Linked DNA regions of Saccharomyces cerevisiae S288C. Changing the gene in region 2 together with the main gene of any one other region gives a genetic interaction. Each region holds a gene or a part of one and is shown on either strand. Other genes may lie near its edges.

The links. A genetic interaction does not mean that the proteins touch.
Region 1: mutations in ENB1 (region 2) and PDE1 together harm fitness more than expected from each alone (negative genetic interaction), as found in Saccharomyces cerevisiae (2 studies listed by BioGRID).

The regions. Positions count from the first base shown.
Region 1 is NC_001139.9:31,632-37,262, forward strand, and holds PDE1 (3',5'-cyclic-nucleotide phosphodiesterase PDE1), read left to right. Parts: upstream 1-4,021; coding exon 4,022-5,131; downstream 5,132-5,631. Other genes in the region: HFM1 (DNA helicase), read right to left, coding at 1-5; RMR1 (Rmr1p), read left to right, coding at 279-1,004; ZIP2 (Zip2p), read left to right, coding at 1,467-3,581; BRR6 (Brr6p), read left to right, coding at 5,302-5,631. UniProt on the Saccharomyces cerevisiae protein: Controls the level of cAMP in yeast cells, together with the high-affinity cAMP phosphodiesterase (PDE2).
Region 2 is NC_001147.6:18,151-25,536, reverse strand, and holds ENB1 (Enb1p), read left to right. Parts: upstream 1-4,225; coding exon 4,226-6,046; downstream 6,047-7,386. Other genes in the region: hexose transporter HXT11, read right to left, coding at 1-264; oligo-1,6-glucosidase IMA2, read left to right, coding at 1,243-3,012.

The sequences.
Region 1 (5,631 bases), on a different chromosome or scaffold from region 2:
TTCATCCTTACGACGCCTCTTAAGTTGTCAAATCCACCTTGAGGTATCAATCATTTTCAATGAAAGGATTTCTTGATAGATGATACTAATAGTCCCGTTTTGTTTATAATCCGGGGCAAAGTCTAAATACCCGCCGAGCCTGCATCCATTCGTGGTACATGATATGTTAAAACTACAACAAGGCATAAAAAAGGGAAGTATATATGATTAATTATATATACGTAAAGGAAAAGATACGTAGTTAAAGATTGTTTTTGTTGGTATCAATGGAATCAAAGATGAGTGAAGAAGAAGCGCATAAAACAGTGGAGGTGGATGACGTCGGGGTTCAATTGGATGAGGGCGATGAAGAAGACCTTTTGGAGTATGATGATGAACTCGTGGAGGAACAACCATCGGACGCCCGTATACGCAACGTGGCAGAGACTTTAATGAAAAGCGAATTGCCCAAAGTCACCGTGGAATATAAAGATACTACATTTCTGTTGTTCACGTCGGATGATAAGAACGAAAGTAACAACCCCATAATATGTGAAAACGCTGCTCTTTATCAGCGACCCATGGGGGAATTCATGGAATCCATTCGTAAATTTATGGGAAATCGTTTTGGCAGGTTGGCTTTTGCTACGAAGGAGTTGGTTTTACAACTGAAAAGCCTCGATTTGACCTTGTTCGAAGATAATGTCTACAACAACCATATTTCATTCAGCGATGTTTATACTATATTTAAAATCCTGAAGGAAAGATCGGAGTCTAATTTTGAAACTGATATACCGACGCACTTGGCTATTGAATTAAGTACAAGGCCAAGATTTGTCTCTCGGTACAACGCCTTGGTTGAATTAACTGAAAGCTCAGCTACGTTGAAAAACATAAAGCCATTTTCTAACGATGAAACGCATCCCTTAATTGTGGATGACAATGACCAATATACACACCAGAATACTTCAGAAGTCATTGTAATGGACATAGATGATGACGTAGGTGAGGATTCTGAAGACTAAAGTAGCCATGTTTAATCAGCACTGATCGTGGGAAATCCTGATGTCCAACGGTGAGTTTCTGATTTCCCAGTCACGGATTCCTTTTGAGAATCTTCTCCCGCGAATAAATTATTGGCTCTGTGTAATATTTAAGGTCGCCTTCTTTTTCGTTTGTATAGTCAGCAGTTAAGTATTCATTAATTTTGGATGATGCAAAGGTCCATATTCGATTTCTGATAGCCCTTCCCCCTTTTTTGTAGCGAATTGTATTATTGTTTTGTATTGTTTTTTCGTCATTTTCTTCAATTTTTTTCAAGTTTTACTTTCGGAAGAATTGCTGAAAGTATTTTCTGTTAGGATATGTAAAATACAAGCATAAAATATGTTTCAGGAGAAGAAAATCACTCAATAGTGCCACACCATTGTTAACGAGCTCGAGTAATTGAATCAATTTAGAGAAATAGATCATATTACAAAAATACTATGATTATTGAACGTTGGGAAGTAAAGTTATCTAAATGTAACCAAAATGTGGGCGGCTATTCTGTTCTGTCAGGAAACTTAAAAGAAAACATCAAACTGGGAAGACGAGCACAAAAATATTTGAAAGAGCTAAGAAATTTGCAACTTAAACCACTGAAAATCGGAGGGTATGAAAACTGCGGCACGATCAATGGTGAAGAGTATTTTTTGGAGGTAATTCACATCACCTCTGGAAGACAAAAAATAGATGTAGCCGTTGGCAAAACATGGAATGTGACTAACATTGAGAATGACAACAAAGAAGAACTACAGTATGAGTTATTCAAGGAAAAGTTAAAAGTCGGGAAACAGGACATGTTATTTTTTAGCTGGATGAAAAGTCTTTCAGTTCAATTAAATGCTCCTCTTCACCAAAAAATGACGGAACACGGTTTGGCAGACGATAACACGAGGTTAGAGTGGTTCAACATCCCACTTCTCAGAAGAAGTCAATACAGGAAAAAGGTACCATATCCGAGTTTAAGACAAATGTCCTCTGTACTGGAAGTGCAATGCAGCACACTAACGGAGGAAAAGTTGAACTTCTGCGTTGGATTTTCTGATAAACCTTTGTCAGAATGGAAGCCCCAAATTTTTGAGCAAACCTACAATAGATACCGTTTACAACGGATCTCACCTGAGAAATCTTTCAAATATAAGAGTAGGTGCAGTAAGTACAATTTCAAGACCAGTTCGCAAAGCTGGGTTGTGAAAGTCCCAGAACATGATCAACAGCTTAATACGTTTGAAAAACGTTATGATGAACTCTTTGATGCTCAATTTAATAAACTAGAATTTTTTAAAATAAGAATGAAAAAATTGAAAAAGAATAAGCCAATTGAGAAAAAGAACTATAAAATATGGTGTCTAGAAAAAGAAGACCTAAAGGATTTGGTATGGGATCCTCTGAAAAGAATTTGCAATCATTCTAGGTATGCAATATTTGAGCATGTTACCATAAATAGGGAGGCCTATTCGATCAAACCATTAAGGTTAACTTTTCAAAAATTAGATTCCGGCTCCCTTGACCTGATCGATAATCAAAAAAAGACGTTTGGTAGTATAAAGCTTGCAATGAGTATGCCAGATGTAAAAAAAACTGAAAATCAGTCAATTGAAGAAAGTGAAAGACACGATGAAACTGCTATTGAAACCCAAGAATTTGATGAAAATGATTGTCTTTCATCTAAGGCGGATATTAATACATCATTAGCTCCTCAAAAGAGATCTTTCATCGATAATGAACTAATGTCCATGTTAGTCACCAAAAAAAAAATAAAGAAGGACAAGGATGTTAGTGACACCGGTATATCTTCCACTTCATACTTGATAAATTCTGGGACATATGCAAATTCTCATATTGAAATTCCTACCTCTAATTCAGTTTACAATGGAAAGGAAGATTGCTCATTTAATAACTACTCAGTAAAGCATTCAATATTGGAAGAAGATATTGAGAATAAATGCATAGCCGTAAATGAAAACAAGGTGATTGAGAACCAAAAGGTAATTCAGTCATTATGTAAAAATTCCCATCTAGACCTTATCGAACAATCTTACTTTGGCGAATGCGATTTCATTATAAACCATTCAACATGTGTATATAAAATTCAGGCGAGCCGATTTATGCAACTCAGAAATAACGGCTCATTGCATTACGATAAAGCGGTAAACGATCTTTTAACTGAATTTCAGAGAGTCATTATAATTGTGGAGTTTTCTGAAATAATACAAGACGTTGATCCTGATCTTTTCTGGAAAATCAAACTTTATTTATTGAATTCACGTGTTGATGTTTTTTTCATTCATGAGACTACTGACTTTTTTATTGATTGGATGAAATATTTCATTGCAAGATGGGCCTTTTCATATAACGATGAGAAAGAAAAAAATATTGCAAATGCCGATATTCTTCTAGATTTGGGATTTAACATCCTCTTAGTACGGAAAATTTTCCAGACATATAGTCTCGAAGAATTTTTTATGGCAATAATAAAGGAAGAAAGCAAAGCTGTTAAAATGCTTACGGTTTCACAAATGACTCGCCTGAAGAAGTTATTAACCTTAGAATGGTAAATCCAGCAAGGATCGTTACCCGGTAAACTATTTATACTACGCCTGCCTCTTTCGTTCTTCGACTACATGCTACAGTTAGTAAATTCAACCAAGGAAAATGTATTTATTAACATGAACTAGCCACCTAATTAACCCTTACCTTATTTTTTATACCCTTGGATCATCGGAGTATCTGTAGATCATATGTTAACGTATGTATAATATTACATCTGTCACAATAAACAACCCGAAAAAAATACCGCACGGAAAATGAGTTACTGATTAAGATGCACTTTTTGGTGAGGGTGCGTGACTTGAAACTAAAAATTACCAATAGTCAAACCCTTTCCATTTTCGAGGGAAGCAATATCTGAAATTTATATTTTTAGAAATTTCCAAGAGAAAGTGGCTTTTAACGAGGTTCTTCTTCTTCATCCCCTTTTTTACCAATATTCCTTTTTATGGTTGTATTCGAAATAACTATACTTGGGGCCAATGGAGGACCCACCGAATACGGAACACAGTGTTTTATACTTAAGCCTGCTAGAACAGAGGATCCAGAATTAATAGCTGTAGACGGTGGTGCAGGAATGTACCAGCTACGGGAGATGTTGGTCCAAGGGCGAAATGAAAATGAAGGTGATGATGAGCTTGTTCCAAGCTTTTATGAACATGATCGAGAGCCAATAGAGTTTTTTATTGATTCCAAACTGAACATACAAAAGGGATTATCCAAGTCCTTGCTACAATCATTAAAGAGGCAGGGAGAGCATTTTGAAAGCGCCAATACAATGAAGAAAACTTACGAGGTTTTCCAAGGAATTACCGACTACTACATTACCCATCCCCATCTGGACCATATTAGTGGGCTGGTAGTAAACTCCCCCTCAATATATGAGCAGGAAAACAGTAAAAAGAAAACTATTTGGGGATTACCGCATACTATTGACGTTTTGCAAAAGCATGTCTTTAATGACTTAATATGGCCAGATTTAACGGCAGAACGTTCAAGAAAATTGAAGCTAAAATGCTTGAATCCGAAGGAAGTTCAAAAGTGCACTATCTTTCCTTGGGATGTAATACCGTTCAAAGTTCATCATGGGATAGGCGTCAAGACTGGCGCGCCGGTATACAGCACCTTCTATATCTTCAGAGACAGGAAAAGCAAAGACTGTATAATAGTTTGCGGAGATGTTGAGCAGGACCGCAGAGAATCTGAAGAATCTCTACTTGAAGAATTTTGGTCTTACGTTGCTGAAAATATACCGCTTGTGCATCTCAAGGGTATATTAGTCGAATGTTCATGCCCATTATCTTCCAAGCCCGAGCAATTGTATGGTCATCTATCTCCAATATATTTAATCAACGAATTATCCAATTTGAACACTTTATACAACAGTAGTAAGGGATTAAGCGGTTTGAATGTTATCGTTACTCACGTTAAGTCAACACCTGCTAAAAGAGACCCAAGACTAACCATACTCGAAGAGTTACGATTTTTAGCTGAGGAGAGGAACTTAGGAGACTTGAGAATATCTATTGCGCTAGAAGGCCACACTTTGTTTCTATAATGTACACAACGTCAATAACATAATACTACGTAGATGAAAAGCGGAAAAATTCATTACCCGGGAGCAAGCAAAATACTAGTAGTAACTAATGAAACTTCTTTCCATTATTATTGATGAGTTAACTTATGTAGACTCATCTTTGAATCCCCTATCCCAACATAAGTCCCGGAATGGAACTCCGTAGTTTTTCTAGACAGCCTGATGGCATACTTGCTAACCCAAGATTGGGAAGGGAGGAAGTATTGGAAGGTGAACATCCGCAAGATGCTAGATTAGCCCGACAAAGCATTTGGTTGAGCCCAAGTTTAATTGCGGAGTATATACAGCTTTTTTTCAATTTTATTATAGGAACTATAGGACTGTCTCTTGCTATTAAATTCATTTTGATGATAAGAAACGATGTTAACTTAAAACTGGAGCATAACGTGAGGGAAGAATTAGATAAAATTGCAACTTGCAAATCAAGGTATTTTGAAAACCAGTGCGAACCTCATATGAGG
Region 2 (7,386 bases):
AAGGTTAACAAAACCAGAAATGGTACCGGTATCCCAACCAAAGATGAAGCCGCCAAATGCAATCATCAAACACAGGATTGCGACGGTGGTATACGCAGAGAGGGGTTTTTGAGGTAAGTCAATAGGTGGCTCATTGGCATCTAGGTTAAGGGAATTTTTAGAGTCACCGTGTTCAGTCTTAACAGAGGGAGCGCCTACTGCTGAGTTAGAGTTAGACATGGTAGTAGATAACTCATTTGCGGATGTATTATTAACACCTGACATGATATTGAGTAATAACAAAAGCGTTTAGAACTAAATTGTGCAATGATTATTTTTTTCAACTCATACCAAAAAAAGAAGAAGAAAAAGATAGGAACAAGTGTGCTCTTCTCTAGTTACACAACTGTGACATTATATACCTTTAATTAGCGAAAAAGAGGAACTGAGAAAGATGAGCCTAGACCTTAAGAGCTAAGTAGTATACGGTGTGTCGAACTGCTACTGATACTTTGAACGAAGGTGTCCGAGTGTATGCATTGTTCGTGTGGTCAGCATTTATTGTGGAGGAGGCGGTTTCATCTACAATTTCCGACGCCTGATTTTCCACGGATATAATTTATTTTTTGACACCTGGAGTTTACATTTCACAAAATTTCTTTCTTTTTTAGTTTTGCACTGATTTCCCCTGAAATAAAGAAAAAAAAGAAAAAGAAGGTTTTGTGAAGTGCCAAGGGATGCACGAGAAAAGCACTTATAACTCGCACGGAGAAATGATTATGTAATTTTCGCGGAGAAATGATTATGTAATTCCGCGGAGAAATGGTTATGTAATTTTTGTGGGGAACTGAACAAGGTCAGTTTACGCTTCGTACTTTGTCGTGGGACTACGTATACGCAAGATTGCGGAGGCAGTGCAATAATGGGGTCTGCTTGCAGATGGTATGATCTGCTATAACGGGCCAAGGGCCAGGCACGCTCTTGCAGAACATACCATGTTATATCATGTAGGTTGTGCAAACATTACCTAAAACTGAAAGCTTCGTTTACATACAGCACTCCTTCCAGATCCTAAATTTACTTTGTTCTTTTCTTATTTTCGATCATTCGTAAGACGTCCATAGGCACGTAAAAGACATATATAAGTAAGAAAGACTTCTTCACTCGAGGAATTAGCTGTACTAGAATATATGTTCCATTCACCAGTCCAAACACACAAACAAAAGTGAAAGTTTTTTCATAAAGAAAAGAAAGCAACGTACAATGACTATTTCTTCTGCACATCCAGAAACAGAACCCAAGTGGTGGAAAGAGGCCACAATCTATCAAATTTATCCCGCAAGTTTCAAAGACTCCAACAACGATGGGTGGGGTGATATGAAGGGTATTGCCTCCAAGTTGGAGTATATCAAAGAGCTTGGTGCCGATGCCATTTGGATCTCACCATTCTACGACTCGCCACAAGATGATATGGGTTACGATATTGCCAACTACGAAAAGGTCTGGCCAACCTACGGTACGAACGAGGACTGCTTTGCCTTGATCGAAAAGACACATAAGCTTGGTATGAAATTTATCACCGACTTAGTCATCAACCATTGCTCGAGCGAACATGAATGGTTCAAAGAGAGCAGATCCTCAAAAACCAATCCAAAACGTGACTGGTTCTTCTGGAGACCTCCTAAGGGTTATGACGCCGAAGGCAAGCCAATTCCTCCAAACAATTGGAGGTCTTACTTCGGTGGTTCTGCATGGACGTTCGATGAAAAGACACAAGAGTTTTACTTGCGTTTGTTTTGCTCCACCCAACCTGATTTGAATTGGGAGAATGAGGACTGTAGAAAGGCAATCTACGAAAGTGCCGTTGGATACTGGTTAGACCATGGTGTAGACGGCTTTAGAATTGATGTGGGAAGCTTGTACTCCAAGGTTGCTGGTCTACCAGACGCTCCTGTGATTGACGAAAACTCAAAGTGGCAACCCAGTGATCCTTTCACAATGAACGGACCACGTATCCATGAGTTTCATCAAGAAATGAACAAGTTCATCAGAAACAGAGTGAAGGATGGCAGAGAAATTATGACAGTTGGTGAAATGCAACATGCTACTGATGAAACCAAGAGGTTGTATACAAGTGCATCAAGACACGAACTTAGTGAGTTATTCAACTTTTCCCACACTGATGTCGGGACTTCGCCCAAGTTCCGTCAAAATTTGATCCCATATGAACTAAAGGATTGGAAGGTTGCCCTTGCTGAACTTTTCAGATACGTTAACGGAACTGATTGTTGGTCAACAATTTATCTGGAAAATCACGACCAACCTCGTTCAATTACCAGATTTGGTGACGATTCTCCTAAGAACCGTGTTATTTCTGGTAAGTTGTTGTCTGTGTTGTTGGTGTCACTGAGCGGTACTCTATATGTGTACCAAGGACAGGAACTGGGTGAAATCAATTTCAAGAACTGGCCTATCGAAAAATACGAGGATGTCGAAGTTAGAAATAACTATGATGCGATCAAGGAAGAGCATGGAGAAAACTCGAAGGAGATGAAGAGGTTTTTGGAAGCAATTGCCCTTATTTCCAGAGACCATGCTAGAACACCTATGCAATGGTCTCGTGAGGAGCCAAATGCTGGTTTTTCTGGTCCTAATGCTAAACCATGGTTTTACTTGAACGAGTCTTTCAGGGAAGGAATTAACGCTGAAGACGAATCCAAGGATCCCAACTCGGTTTTGAACTTCTGGAAGGAGGCCTTGAGATTTAGAAAGGCACACAAGGATATTACTGTATATGGATATGATTTTGAGTTTATTGATTTGGACAATAAGAAACTGTTCAGCTTCACAAAGAAATACGACAACAAAACATTGTTTGCTGCTTTGAACTTCAGCTCTGATTCGATTGACTTCACGATTCCAAACAATAGCTCGTCGTTTAAGTTGGAATTCGGAAACTACCCAAGAAGCGAAGTTGATGCGTCTTCCAGAACATTGAAGCCATGGGAGGGCAGAATTTACATATCTGAATGATTGATGATTGTGACGACAAGATTTTTATACATATACATATACTTATTTTTATCTATGTTACATACCGCACTTTAAATAGTAACGACATATATCTGGTAGTGCGGTATGAGTTATGTAATACACTAAAGTATAGTTTTGTGTAGCATTTTCCATATGTCCTTGCATTGGTATTGTATTATAATAATGCTGAGAGAAGGGTTACTCTATAGCTCATTTGGCCAGATAATACGGCGAGTTATGTGCATATAAGAACAAGTACTAGTGAAATTATATATTATTGTTTATGATCAACAGAATCATCTCTACTACACACTGCATTATGAACTGCAGCCACATTTATCTAAGGGCGGAACGTACCTATGAAATGTCTCTACTACTTTTATGAAGATACTGATTTTTAGTTTGTCACAAATTTTACGATTCTGAAAACACATATACTTTCTTTTATGTTGATAGAGCAATAACACAATGGCCATTTAAAATCTAGCCAGCAAAATATATTCACCGGTTCGTACAATCTCATTTACTATTCCCTCTGAACGTCTTGACTTTGCTCCGCCAGCAAATTTTCCAATCCAACATGCAAGTCACGAAATGACGAATGAAGGCTGTATCAATCGTTCCTAACTGAGGATGGCTGAATAAAAATGAAGGGAAATTCTACGACAGTTTTAATTAGTTAATGAAGGGGTGTGAAAAAGTTAGAAAAAAAAAAAGTCAAATTCAGGAGAATAGACAAGCCTACATTTTCTGTAGTTCAAAACTTTTTATGGTTTGACTTTGTTTTTTTTTTTTTTCGTTTTTCTTTTTTAGTTGAACTAATGGGACCCTCAAACCTAAAATTTTCCGTTTTCGTTTAATCCTCGCATCATATATACCAAATAAGGACACAGGGTTTTCAGTGAGCAAATGTAAGGGTTTCTATGGATTATAAGCCCTTCGGATCAGAAACAGGGTTCCGTAGTTTGGGCAAGAATTGCCCTTAGTCCTGAGTCAACTGCAAAAATCTGTTTAAATTATTGCACCCAAATGTGATACAAATGTATACTATTATAGAGGCTGCCACGGCTTACAATTGCACCCCTCTGTGGCTTTTGAGTGGCGAAGGGTCTATGTTTGGATAATAGAGATGACTTATTTAATTGAAATGATGGTTTGGGTCCTAGCAGAACTCTAATATAGCAAAAAAGTGCTCGTGAATGTCTCTCTGAAAATGCTGGAAACTGATCACTCTAGGAATGACAATTTAGACGATAAAAGCACTGTCTGCTACAGCGAAAAGACAGATAGCAATGTTGAGAAGTCTACCACGTCTGGCTTGCGCCGTATAGACGCTGTCAACAAGGTCTTGTCTGACTACAGCTCTTTCACAGCTTTTGGAGTTACGTTTAGTTCACTCAAGACCGCCCTACTGGTGGCTCTGTTTTTGCAGGGTTACTGTACTGGACTCGGAGGGCAGATTTCGCAATCAATACAAACCTATGCCGCTAACAGTTTTGGAAAGCATTCTCAAGTAGGATCGATCAATACCGTCAAATCAATAGTAGCCTCTGTTGTCGCAGTGCCATACGCACGTATATCTGATCGGTTTGGACGTATAGAATGCTGGATTTTTGCGCTTGTGCTCTATACTATTGGAGAAATTATTTCTGCTGCTACTCCAACGTTTTCCGGACTTTTTGCAGGTATTGTTATACAACAGTTCGGTTATTCTGGATTTCGTCTTCTTGCTACAGCACTGACTGGTGATCTGTCTGGATTGAGAGATCGTACATTTGCGATGAACATATTTCTGATTCCCGTGATTATAAACACATGGGTAAGTGGAAATATTGTTAGCTCAGTTGCTGGTAATGTTGCACCATATAAATGGCGTTGGGGCTATGGAATTTTTTGCATCATTGTGCCCATCTCCACCCTAATATTGGTCCTTCCCTATGTGTATGCTCAGTACATTTCCTGGCGCAGCGGTAAGTTACCACCATTAAAATTGAAAGAAAAAGGACAGACCCTGCGTCAAACGCTCTGGAAATTTGCGGATGACATAAACTTAATTGGAGTCATTCTTTTCACTGCTTTCTTAGTTTTAGTATTATTACCTCTCACAATAGCTGGTGGAGCCACCTCCAAATGGAGAGAGGGTCACATTATTGCAATGATTGTGGTTGGTGGCTGCTTAGGTTTTATCTTTCTAATTTGGGAATTAAAATTTGCTAAGAATCCATTTATCCCACGAGTATATCTAGGTGATCCAACCATCTACGTTGCATTGCTAATGGAATTTGTATGGCGTCTAGGTTTGCAGATTGAGTTAGAGTATTTGGTCACCGTGTTAATGGTAGCATTCGGAGAATCAACATTAAGTGCGCAGCGGATAGCTCAGCTTTACAATTTTCTACAGTCATGCACTAATATTGTTGTCGGCATTATGCTGCATTTCTATCCTCATCCGAAAGTCTTTGTAGTCGCTGGGTCGCTTCTTGGTGTCATCGGAATGGGTCTTTTGTACAAATACAGGGTGGTATATGACGGGATTTCGGGTCTTATTGGCGCTGAGATTGTGGTCGGTATAGCTGGTGGTATGATACGTTTTCCTATGTGGACGCTAGTGCACGCTTCAACCACCCACAATGAGATGGCAACTGTCACTGGGTTACTAATGTCCGTTTATCAAATCGGAGACGCAGTAGGTGCTTCCATCGCTGGTGCTATATGGACTCAGCGTCTGGCAAAGGAGTTGATACAGCGACTCGGCTCTAGTTTAGGGATGGCAATCTACAAATCACCACTCAATTATCTAAAAAAATACCCTATTGGATCAGAGGTTCGTGTTCAGATGATAGAATCCTATTCGAAGATTCAACGCTTATTGATAATTGTGTCCATTTCGTTTGCGGCTTTCAATGCTGTTCTCTGTTTTTTCTTGCGTGGCTTTACTGTAAACAAGAAGCAAAGTCTTTCCGCAGAAGAACGAGAGAAAGAGAAGCTCAAAATCAAACAACAATCATGGCTCCGTCGTGTAATTGGATATTGAGCTGGAGAGTACTAGCGATACAAATATAGTGTTAAGCTCTTTCCTGAACTAGAATTCTCTTTGAAATAATCACTGTTAATGTAAGTAGTAATCAATAATGGCGTGTAACAGTATAATATTGTTGTCTGAAATAAAAAACAACAAAAAGTTCGAATTAGTTTTATTTTATTTTTCTTTTCTAACTAAGTGAATATCCATACGTTTGTTACGTTTATTTCAGCAATATTATAGTCTTAAATGGGCTTGACAATACAAAAATCAATGAGATTATTCGCACCTGTCATTTCCCGTAGTTTTTATAAAGAAATATAAAAAAAAATGTTGCGAAGAACTTTTACTAGAGCGTAAACGAATTAAAAAAAATTAGTAGTGTAAATATAATCACCACCTGCCGTAAGCCTGCTTGAGCCCTTTATTATTTAGTTTTAGCTGTTGCTAACCTGACTTTCATACTTCTTATAATTGACGTCATAAAAAATATTCAAAGTTCGAAAGAATGAAGAAAACATTGACCGACTTAAAAGAAGCAGTAACCCCACGAAATTTTAACCAGTGCTGATTGTGCGAGAAATCGACTCCAACAGTCTCAGATCAGAGAATATATGAAATATTAGTGGCCCCATACTTATAATGGTTCGCTGATTAATGTATAACAAGCGTGAAAGTATGTATAGCTGCACGGATTGTAGATAGAGCTCATTTAATATTAGGTATTTTGCCCATGTCATTTTTGTGCAAGTCATTTTCTCCTTTGGAACTAAATTTTCTTTAAAATATCTCATATACAAAAAATCCTAACTCACAAGTTAATGTTTTCCATCATAAGTAGACGTTTATTTAAAACATGTTATTATATATTGATCCACTCTTTGCAGTGTCGTTTTCCTACAAAAATTAGATACTTAATCTTGAGGAGTGTAGAAATAAGTGAAGGCGACATAAAGATAGAGAAACAGCCATGAAATTTAGTGAAAGCTGACACTCAAGAATTAGGAATGTAATAAGATAATGAATCACAACATATAAAATGGAAAGTGAAGTAATAATACTATTCTATAGAATAATCGACGATCCTTCATGAATTGCTATATATCTGAGGAGAACTTCTAGCATATCCTGCATACCTAATATTATAGCCTTCAATAATAATGAAAATCCTAACAATTATCCAATTATTCACCAAATTCTCTATTTCAACAGTAGTATTATGGCATTGATTATATTGCAAGCTATAGATTCGATTTCATGAATTCATAACACTCTAAAAGAGAACTTCTGCAATACTCTGTACAAATAACATTATTACTTTTACTAAAAATAGATTTCCGGACACTAACTTT